Linked DNA regions of Astyanax mexicanus. The protein of the gene in region 2 interacts with the protein of the main gene of each other region in a biochemical or structural test. Links are inferred from orthologs where the notes say so. Each region holds a gene or a part of one and is shown on either strand. Other genes may lie near its edges.

Region 1 (7,236 bases), on a different chromosome or scaffold from region 2:
CATTTCAAAAGGCAAGTCCAATACCTTGGGCCCTATTTAGTGTATCTTTGCTATCGTAATGACGGAAAAAGTATGCCAATAAAAAAACGCATGTACTAATTCTCTTAACTAATTATGGTTTTTTTTTTTTTTAACATAACATGAAATAAAACAGTCAGCGTGTCACTTGCCATTTCCTATAAAAGCAAGGTGCACACGCTCTGACTTTGGTGGATTGCTATTTAAACAACGCAGCACTTCTGTGCTTCTTAGAAGAGGAAGTGAAGGTGTGTAAGCAGTTCATTTCTGAGAACAGCAATGTTATTTTATATAGTGTTCTGTGAAAAAATTAGGTCTGTGCACTGCTGTATGCCATTGTGTGTGTGTGTGTGTAATAAAGAGGGGTGTACAAGATAGCAATGAACGTCTGACTAATGACGTCTGCCTAGGTTAATATCGGTCAGTGGTGCACCTGTGTTTTCCATTGGAAAAATAAAATACAAAAAATTTACCAAAAATAATCCTCAAAAATATAATTCTAGCAGAAACCGAGTAACACGCCACTAAATACTGGAAGTGCGTTAGATAGATAAAGACAGCTTAGATCCCAGAAGGACTACAAGACGGTTGCTGAATATAGACACAAAACATGCTTACACTCCCCACTTTACCTGAAAGTCAAATAAAATCAAGAGTACTCTTGGAAAACAGCCTTTCAAACACAAAGCAAATGTGCCAGGAAAGTATTCCATACATCTTGAAGGATGGTGAGTCAAGACAAGCCACATTAGTAGCTGGAAGATCTCTCAGTATGGATGTGGTTTTGACCGCTGCCATTTAGGCCAGTGTCAGGGTTTTGTTTTGTATCTAATGCAGGGAAGACTACGGGAAGTCACTGGAGGAAATGCTGCAGTGGGGTTAGTTACATGACTGAACTTTTTTTTTTTAGCCTATCGACTTGTTTCTTGCAAATAAAAATAAACAATTATAGATAACTACAGCTCAAAATATAAAAAGAAGGAATATATACTGGTAAATTAAAAAGAATTAAGACACACACAACAACGCTCACATACTCCACTTCACCTGAAAGTCAAATAAAATGAAGGAAAAGCCTTTCAAACACACAGCGGAAGTTAAAGCCACCACCCGAGTGTAGATGCCTTTCTTCCATACATCTTAAAAGATGGGAGATCAAGAAATGAGATTAGTCGCTTCTTGATGACCACTGCCGTCATTTTGGCCAGGGTCAGGGTTTTAAATGTTATACAGGGAAGACTACACAGGAGGTCAGCTGGCTACCTGATTATACTGAATATAGACCAGGTTATCCAATCAATGGGTTTATTTTTTCTTCCCTGATGATACGACCATATTCCAAGATGACAATGTCAGGATTCATGGGGCTGGAATTGTGAAAGAGTTCAGGGTTCAGGAAGCATGAGACCATCATTTTCACACATGGATTGAGAGAGTTCACCACAGAGTCCAGACCTTAACCTCATTGAGAATCTTTGGGATGTGCTGGAAAAGACTTTGTGAAGCGGTCAGACTTTACCATCATCAATGCTGAAAGAACACTGGATTTAAATAAATCTAAATAAATAAATGCCACAGTGAATGCGTGCTGCAATCACAGCTAAAGGAAGTCCAACCAACTATTAAGCCCTATTTGGACAGGATTAGTTTCTCAGGGGGACGTCTGTGATAAATATTTCACAGTTCTACTCTTAAGAGTGTTAAAACTGTTGCATCTGGAACGCAATTAAAAAAACAAGAGGACCAGTGATTATTCTTGGCTTTCTCAGTCACACGACATCGCGTTCAGTAGCTCCTCCATTTCCACTCGCTGTTGTGTTTACATGGATCTCCATAGAAACAAAAGTGCACCCAAAGTGTAATTACGGTGTGTGGCAGTGGACAAATAGCCGTTTTTATTAAACGTAAGGTGACGAAACTCAGAATGTCTGAGAAAAACACATACATGGTCGTTCCGGATTGGAATAAAATCACAGAGGACCACCTATAAAAGAGAAAATTACCCCAGGACCCCCTGAGAAACTAATTCCATCCGGATAGGGCTTTTTTTTTGGCCAGACAGTGTATATTGGTCCACCCTATCCACAGATCACACAGACAGATAAGCAGACCCTGGCTAATATATAAGATTATGTTAGCTACTGTATAAGGAGGACCAGTCACCACCCAGTTAACCTAGCTGGCTAATACCATCATAATACCGGTGGAGAAAAGACTACACACTGACGGTTGGACAGGACAAGCAAGTTGGCAATTAACTTAATTATATAAATAAATAAAATAATTATATAATGTTAAATATGTTGTTGAGTCCAGCTGACCTTAGCCTCCTCGCTAGCTAGACCAATAAATCCAACAGAACCACAAAAACTCAGAAAGGCTCACCTGAATGCTGGGTGAACACGTTGACCCCCGGGTCCGGCATGTTAGCAGCAGCGGTCAGCCTGCATGCGGGAGCCGCAGCGCTGGCAGCGTCCCTGGGTCTCCTCCCTCCGCCACCGCCGCTGGTCCGGGCCGCTCTGCCCGGGTGCTGCTGCTGCTGGAGCTGGGGCTGGAGCTGTGGCTGTGAGTGGGGCTGGGGCTGAGGCTGCGGCGGGCTCTGGAGCGCCGGAGAGCCGCCGTCCCCCACGCGGCCTACCTGCTGCCCCATTGTGCGAGCTGTGCGGGAGAAAAGCCGAACCGCAGGCCGAGCTGAGGGACACCGCGCTGTCCGGCCGGATCACATCCCCCCCGGCCGCGGGTCGCAGCGGCCTGCTGGCTGTTCCTCCTCCCCCTCCACCCGCGCCTGTTCCCGATTCGGAGCCCGAGCCCACCCAGCGGTCTGCAGCGCCTCTACCCGCGCAGCTCCGCGGCTCCGAGCAGCGTGTCGCCGGGCCGGTAGCGGCAGACCCTCCCCCGGTTCCCCGGTTGCCGCAGCTGCGTGTTTTTAATAAAGCGGCTCCTCCGTTAGGGCTCCCTCCGCTCCGCTACAACCACTATGCGCCCCCTCTGACGCCGCCATCTTTACCGCAGAATCAGTGGCGTGCAGGTCTCCAGCCAATCAGAGATTTGGGAGAGGGGATGGGGCGTGGTTAATTTCAGGGGAAGGCGGTGACTAACTTAGTCACGCCCATAAGATAGTAGCTACTGCAGTATATATTACTAATAAAATAATTAATAGACAGGATATAAAATGTAAAAATACATGGTCGTTCCGATGGGAATAAAATCACAGAGGACCACCTATAAAAAAGAAAACTACCCCAGGACCCGTATTACTACAATAAAATAATAAAATTATAATAACAATAAAAAACAATAAAATAATGAATAGATAGGATATAAAACGTAAAAGTAAAAACTAGTATAACAAAAAGACAAGTTAGAAAAGTTTTTTAGGCTTTCACTAATGACACCTTCTGGCAACATTGCTACTCCAATAATACAGTATAATTAGAAAACAATTAATAATAATACAAAACAATAAAATAATTAATATATACAAAATGAAAAAATAAAAAGTAGTATAACAAATAGACAAGTTAGAACAGTTTTTTTTAGGATTTCGCTAACCACGCCTTCTGGCAACATTGCTAGCTAGCTAGTCAGTAGTGTGTAATGGAAATAGTGCAGTTGAACACAGTAGACAGTGAACACCAGTATAATGATGTGCATATAATAAAGTACAAAAAGTGCAAATACACAGTTATATACTAATTTAAATTTGCAGTGAAAGCTTGTGCAAAATCTACTAGTGCAAAAAATGTAAAAAAAAAAAAAATGCTACTCCAATAATACAGTATAATTAGAAAATGATAAATGTATATTTAAAAAAACATAAAATCAATAGACATAATATAAACAAACTGACACATTAAAACATAACAAGGCTCTGACCTCGCAACATGTTTTCAACAATGAAACTGAATTGCATTTGAAGGAATCAAAATGAGTTTTATTAATACTCTGGGCATCCTGCGCTGGCCTACATTGCTGTGTTTAGTGATGTGAGGTCTCTCCAGTTTGCTGTTCTTGATTTAATCTGAATCTACATGAAGTTTGGTGGTCTGTAGTGATGGACTCTGTGGAAATTTGGTTCCTCTGAGCACTATTCTATAGTGCAATAATATGATTAATAAAACAATTAAATAATTAATAGATCAAATAAAAACTAATTTAGCAAATTAGACAAATAAGAACAGATCGTTTTTTTTAGGATTTTACTAACCACGCCTTCTGCCAATATTGTTGTTATTATTATATAATTTAAACAAATAAGGATAATGAAACAAATAGACATAAACTAACAAACTGACACATTAAAACACAACAAGGTTGTTGTTTACGATTTCATTAGATACACCTACTACTACTACTGCTATATCAATAATATAAATAATAAATTTTACTATATAAAACAATAAGTATAGCTAGGCTAACAAAATAACAAATTAGAACATATAGTTTTTTTCAGAACATAAAAACGGGTATAGTATATACATAATTTTATATCATTTTATTTATTTATTTATTTATTACATTTCATTTATCTTTTAACATTTCTCAATACACATAATCGGTGACGTGCAGATCACGGACCAATCAGTGATGTCAGAGCGGGGAAAGGGGCGTGCCTAACAACGGGATAAGGGAGGGGACTTTAGCTGGACAAATAATTGAAAACAATAAAAGAATCAGAATCAAACATGATAAAAATGTATAAAACCAATAGACTTTCAAACATATGATAGTATATGAGAATTTTTAAGGTTTTGTACATTTCCAGATATGGTATTTGTGCTTTTATTTTGCTTTGTTTTCTTTTCTTTTCTTCCCCTTTTAACCTATTTCTAATAGGGCTGATTAACCATTATTTGTACAGTTTTATTTTATTTGGACTTTACTAAGTAAACGTTTGATCAAAATTTGATTTAATATCATTTTTTATATTTGCATCTCAATTTTAAGCATTTTATGCAGGGATCATAGATTTTATTATTACAGATAAACATATTTTAGCTATTAATATAAATGTATAATGTCCAAAGACATGCTGGGTCAGACTTCTTACAAATCTAAAGACAGGACAGCGACTAAACAACAAGGCCTTGTTGCAGATTTCCCACGTCGCTCTTCATGAAGCCACGAGTGCCGCCAAACTACTGAACGCATGTGACTTTTATCTGCTGTTTAACCCATAACCCTGTCCTCTGAAATCCATCACACCCACCCATATGCACACAGAGTCTGCAGACCATCATTCATGCAGTAGATCTTAGACGACTGCAAAATGTATTTTTTGCACTTTCTTAAATATATTTACTCTAATGTATTTACTTAAATGTAATTGTTGGCTTTGCAACAGATCAACACAAAGTAGCAAGTAATTGTGAAGTAAAAAGAAAAGTACACATGGTTTTTAAATGTTAATAATAAATAAAAATAAGGGCTCCTAGTAGTCAAGCAGACTAAGGTGCTGCCACTATGATTCTTGATTCGAATCCCGATCATGCAGCTTGCAATCAGTTGCCGAAGCCCTGCGAGAGCACAATTGGCCTTGCTCTCTCTGGGTGGGTACAGTAGATGGCACTCTTTCCCCTCATCACTTCTAGGGTGATGTTGATCAGCACGAGGCTTCTGTGAGCTGATGTATCAGAACCGAGTCGCTGCACTTTTCTCCAAGCGTTAGTGCTGGGATGCTACTCGGTAATGCTGCATCATCAGCAGTTAAAAAGAGGCGGAGTCTGACTTCACATGTATCGGAGGAGGCATGTGCTAGTCTTCACCCTCCTGGTGTTGTAGCATCATTAGTGATGTGGGATATACAGCTGACTTGGAGCTGAATGGGTCTGACAATTGGTCAGAAAATGTAAAATATAATATTTAAATAAATAAATAAGATTACATTATAAAAAGTGTGGTGTGTATTTGTATTCAGTCACCTTTACTCCGATGCCCCAAAATAAAATTCAGTGTGACCAATCGCCTTCAGAAGTCACCTAATTATTAACTAGAGTTAATACACACCTGTGTAATTTATTTTCAGTATGAACACAGATGTCCTTGAAGAAAATTAGTAATTAAACTGCATCATTAAAACCAAAGAAGACACCAGACAGGACAGAGATCATACCTGTCAAGTCTCCCGTTTTGGCCGGGAAACTACCGTATTTTACTCCTCTTTCCCGCTGTCCTCCCGTATTAGTATTTTCCCGTAAATTTCCCGTATTATATTAAAATAAAAATATATATATTATTGAGGAGAAAGGGAGCTGACTGCTCTGTGTCTCTTAACCAATCGTGCAGCCGGTTCAAGGAGAAAGTCCCGCCTTTCAGGAGAAACAGCCAATCAGCTTGCAAAGGAGGGTCAGTGTGGGGAAGCCACAGGCAGCTAGTCGGAGCAGCTGATGTTAAAACATATCTGGATATACAGCGATTTTTCTAAAAGAAAGGGAACGGTAGGCTAATCATGTAAACTATGATGAGATTTTTCTGATAGCTGCTTAAAAATACTCGTCTCTGAAATAAAACACTCAGATTAAACCTTTTAAAATAAAAAAAAACAGTTAAAAATTAACTAAACTGATCAGGGGTGGAGTGATCAAAAGATTCAGTTTGCAGAATTTGTGCACCCTTTGTTCAATTTTAAATCCATTAAATAAATAAAAATATATTATAAAAAAGAGTGCATTTATGCCAAAAAGACATGAAATCTTAACTTTTAAAAAAATATTTGGAAAAGTGTTTTTAATTTGGCTGTATTAAAAGAATGACATATGTAGGAATGTCCGCAACATTTCAGATTCTGATAATCTAATTGTGTGTAAGTGGTTCACATGTCGTTATTTTAGATTTTTTTTGTAAACCTGTCTTAAAATGTAAGGGATACTGAACCTACGTTGGGCTGGTGGGACAACTTTAAGCGGACAGAGGAAAATATCCCTTATTTTTTAATCTAAAATTTGACAGGTATGAGAGATAACACTGTGGAGAAGTGTAAAGCAGGGTTAGGTTATAAAAACAGAGCACTCCTTAATCCATCATCCCAAAAAAAAAAAAAAAAAGAGAACAGCACAACTGCACACCTTGCAAAACATGGCTGTCCATGTACACTGACAGCCCAGGCAAGAATTGTCTGTAATCCATAATCATCAACAATAAAATAAATAAACGCTTAAAATAGATCACTCTGTGTTTAATACATCTATATAATATATACAGTATATATTTCACATTTTA
Region 2 (6,986 bases):
TCATGACTATTTACATTGTAGCTTCTCACTGAAGGCATCAAAACTATGAATCAACACATGTGGAGTTTTATGTACTGTACTTAACAAAAAAGGTGAAATAACAAAAAAAAAACATTATACCCTAGTTTATTCAAAATAGCTACGCTTTGCTCTGATTACTGCTTTGCACACTCTTGGCATTCTTTCAAAGAGCTTCAAGAGGTGGTCACCTGAAATGGTTTTCCAACAGACTTGAAGGAGTTCCCAGAGGTGTTTTGTTGCCCCTTAGCCTTCACTCTGTGGTCCAGCTCACCCCAAACAATCCGGTTTGGGTTCTGGTCCGGTGACTGTGGAGGCCAGGTCATTTTTTTGATAAGTACATAAAACTCCACATGTGTTCATTCATAGTTTTGATGCCTTCAGTGAGAATCTACAATGTGAAATGAGATGAGAAATGGCTGAAATAACAAAAAAGATATGGAGCTTTCAAAACTCAAGTAATTTAAATAAAACAAGTTCATATTCATAAAGTTTTAAAAGTTCAGAAATCAATATTTGGGGGAATAACCCTGGTTTTTAATTACAGTTTTCATGCATCTTGGTATGCTCTCCTCCACCAGTCTTACACACTGCTTTTGGATAACTTTATGCCACTCCTGGTGCAACAATTAAAGCAGTTTAGCTTGGTCTAATGGCTTGTAATCATCCATCTTCATTTTCATATATTCTAGAGCTGTATATATAAAATTGGAAACGAGAACAGTGTGAATTTTCTTTTTGCTACGAGCAGCAAATGAGTTTTACTCTGATGGCCCATATGGCCCTAAAATAATATATATGATATTTTAGGGAATGTGTGCAATAACAACATACATTTGTTTGGCAATATTATTGCACACAATACGATATGGCGCACCCCTAATTGCTGCATGTCTGAAGTTTGGGAAATAGTACATTGACACTACACAACAGTACTAGCAAAATGTTTTTTGGACAAAGATTGAACTGTTGCTGCACTGCATCTGGCATAACAAAAGTCACTGCACATCACCATTAAAACATCATCCCAACCATACATAAGTATGGTGATGTGAGAGTGTCCTTACATCAGTTGAAACTCTTTTGAGGTTGGGTGATGCAACAGGACACTGACCCAAAACATCAAAGCAGCGGAGCAGATCCACAACAGAATGGCTTATGAGAGTGGCCAAGTCAGAGCCCAGATCTCAGATGCTGGATTGACTGGATTGAGGCATCCAAGAAATATGACAGAGCAAAAGCTGTTCTGCCAGGAAGAAAGGGCTAAAATTCCTCCTGAACAATATGCAGGTCTGATCCACAACAAATGCCTGGCTGAGGTAATGGCTGCCAGGGGCAACCACTTTAAGTTTTGAATGGGGGTGCTCTATGTTATTTTACGCATGTTGCATTTGTTAATACCCTAGAAACTAGTAACTAGTAACTTCTCTGGATGACCCGGTCCATCCAAAATACTTACCGGGTCCTACAGGTACTTTAACTGTACATATAAATAAAGAAAAACAAGCAACAAGAGTGTAACAACTAGGTAAGTTTCTGAAACTTACCTTTTACTTTCCCAACAGGTATGGTGTAATTGTTCACTATAAATCAGTAAATACAAAATACTTATTGGGTCCTACTCGTACTTAAATCTTAAATATAAGTACAAGTAAAGCACAGGGGAACCTGCAATTTCCCTAAACTTATGTTGCAATTTTCATGAAATAATATATATATATATATATATATATATATATATATATATATATATATATATATATATATATATATATATATATATATATATATATACACATATATATTATTTTGCCCTTGGTTCATGGCAGTTATGAAGGCTTGATTTCAGTCACCCTCCAGGGAATTATTATTCTATTAATTTTATGAGTTTGAAAAAAGAAGATTTTTTAAAACTGTCATGGGTGGAGTAGCTAAAAACAGTCAGAGTGGAGCAGGAAGAAAACGTACAGCTTAAAATTCAAGACTAAAATACAATAATATATATATATATATATATATATATATATATATATATATATATATATATATATATATATATATATATATATATATTCTCAATAACAAAATCAGGAATGCAGAGATTTTAAAGAAAATATATTAATTAATACACAAAAACTACAAGGTTTTATATTATTGGTTAATAAACCCACACCTCACCTGATTTTTACTGTTTTTACTCTATAAGTACACAGTACTTCCTCAGTAAGTAGTTAGAAACAACAGGGAGTGGGCTGTATTATGTAGTGTACAGTGTTTCACTGGTCTTACTCTGTAAGTACACAGTACTTACCCTCTAAAACGCGGGCTGTATTATAAAGCGTTACCAAATATAACTGTTGTTGTGTCATTTATGTTTACGTTTATGTAACCTTAAAGTATTTACCTTAAATATTTACAGTCTTGTACCCACAATAAGAAACAAACATAAATGAGCTGCTCACTAAATTCATCTGAATTCATTCTGAATATTGCTACATCAATCAGTAGCAATGTTCAGAAATGGTCTGGGCTATTATGTCAAAACCAGAAAGGTATAGTAACGAAGTAGAGGTACTACTGTTCTTAAGTACTAAAATGCTGTATCTTTATCTACTGGAGTATTATTTTTACTTCACTACTGTACTTAAGTACTAAAATACTGTATCTGTGTCTACCTTAACTTCACTATGTATTTTCCACAAGTTTAATACTTTTACTACAATATATTATTTTATGTGCTAATTCATTACTTGATTCAATTATAAAAATTCCCCATTTCACATTATCACAAAGCAGTAGATGATGCTGCTCATTCTTGAGTGAATCAAGAGATCAAACTTATCTTATAAGGGCTCTGAGTGGTTCAGCCGGCTAGCGCCTGCCACTATTATCAGGAGATTTCCCGTTTGAATCCTGTTCATGTAGCTTGCCATCAGCTGCCGAAGACCTGAGAGAGCACAATTGGCCTTGCTCTCTCTGGGTGGGTAGATGGCACACTCTCCCCGGGTGATGTCGATCAGCACAAGGCGTCTGTGAGCTGATGTATTAAACCTGAGTTGATGCGTTTTCCTTCGAGCGTGCTGTGATTGGAAAAGAGGTGGCAGTTGGAAAAAAGACAGTGGCTGACATCACATATATCGGAGGAGGCATGTACTAGTCCTCACCCTCCTGGTGTTGGGGCATCACTAGTGATAAGGGGGGGTCCTAATGAGTGGGTTGAGTAATAGGCCATGTAAATTGGGAGAAAATAGTCTAAAAATTAGAAATTTTATAGGAAGACCTCGCTGCTCCCGTTCTGCCTTTTACTTTCAGAACTCCAGTACTACATTTTACAATAAACTACAATACTTGCAATACTTAAATACAAATACTTGAATACTTTAGTTCTTCCACTTAAGTGTGTAGCTTAAAGAACACTACAACTTCTACTTAAGTCACTTTTTTGATAGAGTACTTTTACTCAGGTCTTGCTCTATAGTGTTTTATACCGGTCTGGTTATGAGCCAGGCTTCTCCAGTGTCTGAAAACAATCTGTGCAGCTCACCGTGAGTAAAACAACCAGTCCAGCTTTAATTCCCCACTCAATTAACCCAGTGCACAATCACAATAGATAAACAACACACCACACTGCATTACCAGAGGCAGCTGCTGGAGTCACAGCCTGCCTCCCGCTCTGTAATTGGCTGATACCCAGCCTCGTTTAGTTTATTTGGCCAGCAGTGTCCCACCTGCAGCGGTGTGATTGGATTTCTCAGTTTGAGTCCTGCGCTGGGATTGGATAGAAGTTCATATTCTTCAGTTACGGGACAAGCTATGAACTCCGGCGGGTGCGAAGTCTTAGCCAATCGGGGTGCGGTGGGCGTGGCCTGTCGGAGACCCAGTGGAGCCCCGCCCTTCCCCTCCCGTGCCCGGGAGCGCGCCTGCCTGCGGGAAGCTCGTTCCTGAACTGGCGGAGCGGAGCTGAACTCGGAGCTGTACTCGGAGCGCTGCCCGCAGGAAGTTTTACAGACTGAAACGCGCTGAGGGAACCGCAGCACGGGAATACACACTCTCCGCAGGATTATTCCCAGCCTCCGGGGAGCGTTGAGGAGTTATTGAGCGGGTGATTATGGACTAAAGTCCGGCGGAGAGCGATGGAGGCGGTGAGAAGTTTAGGGCTCGTGCTGGCGCTGCTGGCCGGGGCCGTGGCGAGATCTGCGGGGAGAGAAGGTGGGTCAAACCGCCGCATTCCTCAACCAAACACTCCCCCAAACCCCGGCCTTCACCGGAGAACAGCCGCTCACAGCCACTGCAGCGTGTTTATAACCCATAGAGCGAAATGTTTTACCCTAAAATTACTTTAACAATAACTTAAAGTCCTAGCTTAACTTTTTAATGGTAAAAACTTACTTCTACTCACAATTTTTCCATGGTAAAAGCTCTAACTTACTACATCTACTGTATATCAAACTGTGTAATTTTGACTAGCCATATGTTTTGACTTAGCATTTATTTTTATTTCACATTGTCCTATCTATAATTACTTAGCTACAATTACATTTTTTTGCTAGTAAATGTAAAATTATTCTGAGATAAGAGAGAGTGGGGAAAAATATGAAATTCCATGTCAATAAAATAAAATATCAAACAAAATATCAACGTTAAAACAGTAAAATTAATCAAACACTGTGTGACCCTGGATCCAGGCTAATATCTAGTCTGCAGGTTTGATTATGTTATTACTATTAAAAATGAACTGATATCAGAATTAGAAGTAGTACAAACTGTAATACAGAAATCTTGAATTTGAATTTCTTGAGCTATACTAGTATTATAGAGTTAGGACTAATGACTGGGCGATATTGTAGAAAAATAATTTTGATATACTTTAGATATAAATGATTAACGATAATGATTATACATTTAGTTTTTACATAACATCTTCATTTGCACCATTTTAAGTGATGCACAAGCTACTGTTTCCTTTACATTTAATTCAAGAAATGTTTTAGTTTTAGTAAGCAGACCCCTTTAACTTCACATGCAGCTTTTATTTCAAACACAGTGCAAACATAACCTCCTTGACAACAACAGCTGATGTGGATATTTAGACTTTCTGACTAGGAACAATATAAAGGCTCTCAAATCTACACCTAAAACCAGGCCTTTTTAGTTTTCAAAACAGTACTTATGGTCAGTTTATTTAGACTGTTTGACCAAAAAAGACCAAATTTGTAGACCAAAACTAAATCCGGGCCTTCAGAGTTCAAACATAGCCTCCTTGTACTTTAGTTCAGGGAAAGTATAAAATATGAAAATCACTGAAAACCACACATAATAGAGTTCTTTATAGTTTTCTATCTATTGAGATCCACTCTGGCAACCTCTATATGTACATATATACAGTCTCTATTTCCCCATTTTGAAAACCACATAAAACAGTAATTCCATTAATTAATTTGATTAACCTCCCAGCCCTACTTAGGACTCATATCCCTGTTGTGATTTTAGTCTAAAACAATTGTCCATATTGTAGATATAAAAGGGCTGTGGCAGGTTTTTATAGAATTTCAGGCTGCCTACAGAGATTTACTCAAGTGTTTCCACCACAAACTGGCTTTACCACTTTACTGTGACTGACAGCAGAGAGCAATCAACAAACTCAAATCATAAAACCTGCCTTGTAGACCAAAACCTAAGCCTAAGGCTTTGGTCAGGAGCAGTGAGCTGTTTTGGTGTGGGTATCTAAGAATTTCTCACTAGAAAAAGAAAGAGTAGAGTACACTTTAAAACTTGAAAACTTTAGTTTTAGGCAGGTACACAGTGGACAGCAACAACTGATGTGGATATTTAAGACTTTTTAACTATAAACACTTTAAAAAAGACTCTAAAATGTGGACAAAAAACAAACTCAGGCCTTTTAGGGTTTAGTTAGGTTTGCAGAACAGTACTAATGTTAAGGTTATTTAGACTTTCTGAATAAAAAGATGAAAATTGTAAAACAAAACTAAATCCAGGCTTCAGTGTACACTCAAGTGCTTACATCTCAACACTAAATGATATTAGCCTTTCTGATGGGAAAAACCTTCACTTTCAGACAAAAAATACACTCTATACAAAACTATCATTTAATTTATATATTTATTAAACACTGAACATTTATGTGAAACACAACATTTAATCTGTCCCTAGTTAAAGTAAAATATATCAATAGACTTTTATATAAATTCACAAAATATTATTTAGATACTCTATAAATACAAATACACTACGACAGTAATACTTAACATGAGTAAAAAATTGAGTAAAACCGAGCATTTTTAACTGCACCATGTATAATCTGTTATCCTATGAATTCAGTCAAACAGAAAGTTCTTCAACTAAAAGACAGCTTTACTGAGATTCTAGGCCTTCGATTTTAGTTTGATGTGCAAAGAAGCTATAGGTTCTGATTTTAAAGTCTTCATCTGTAGGCTAAACCAAACCTAAACTCAAGCCTGTTTAGAGGTTAAAGGACATTCAAATTTAGGGCGGCACTTTATTGGAAAATATTACAATATTAAAAATGCAGTTGTTAACACCAACTTTTGCTAGAAGTAGGTGAGCCAACATGGCCTGGTATTAATATTCTGTGATCATTCATGCTGATGCATTAAAGCTTTAAAAAAGTAATCTCACCTGGCCAAAACTACACCAGCACTACCCATTTTTATAGACCGAAACTCTGTTTAAAAGAAGCTAGATGGAAAAAAAAAATCTCAAGGCAGCTGAATCATCAGGTGTTAGAACTGAGGTCACTTCATGACGGTCCTCAGTGGTCGGAATGGTGTTGACGGCATTGCACCTGCCAGTTCTAGGCTCATTTCCAACATCTAAAAACACACAAACAAAACTTTACAAACTTCAAATGTAGTTTAACTTCGCACATGTGTCCATAACAAACCTGCTCTTATCTTGATTCCTCTTCTTTACTCTCTCCACTGTGTGCT

Evidence for each region. The genes of interacting proteins can lie anywhere in the genome.
Region 1: the proteins of erbb2 (region 2) and abl2 form a complex in vitro, tested with the Homo sapiens proteins (3 studies listed by BioGRID and IntAct, with this or other methods). The link is inferred for Astyanax mexicanus from reciprocal best matches to the Homo sapiens genes ERBB2 and ABL2.

The regions. Positions count from the first base shown.
Region 1 is NC_064419.1:45,073,991-45,081,226, reverse strand, and holds the start of abl2 (tyrosine-protein kinase ABL2), read right to left. Parts: upstream 3,015-7,236; 5' UTR 2,669-3,014; coding exon 2,404-2,668; intron 1-2,403. UniProt on the Homo sapiens protein: Non-receptor tyrosine-protein kinase that plays an ABL1-overlapping role in key processes linked to cell growth and survival such as cytoskeleton remodeling in response to extracellular stimuli, cell motility and adhesion and receptor endocytosis.
Region 2 is NC_064422.1:4,071,338-4,078,323, forward strand, and holds the start of erbb2 (receptor tyrosine-protein kinase erbB-2), read left to right. Parts: upstream 1-3,925; 5' UTR 3,926-4,151; coding exon 4,152-4,227; intron 4,228-6,986. UniProt on the Homo sapiens protein: Protein tyrosine kinase that is part of several cell surface receptor complexes, but that apparently needs a coreceptor for ligand binding. Essential component of a neuregulin-receptor complex, although neuregulins do not interact with it alone.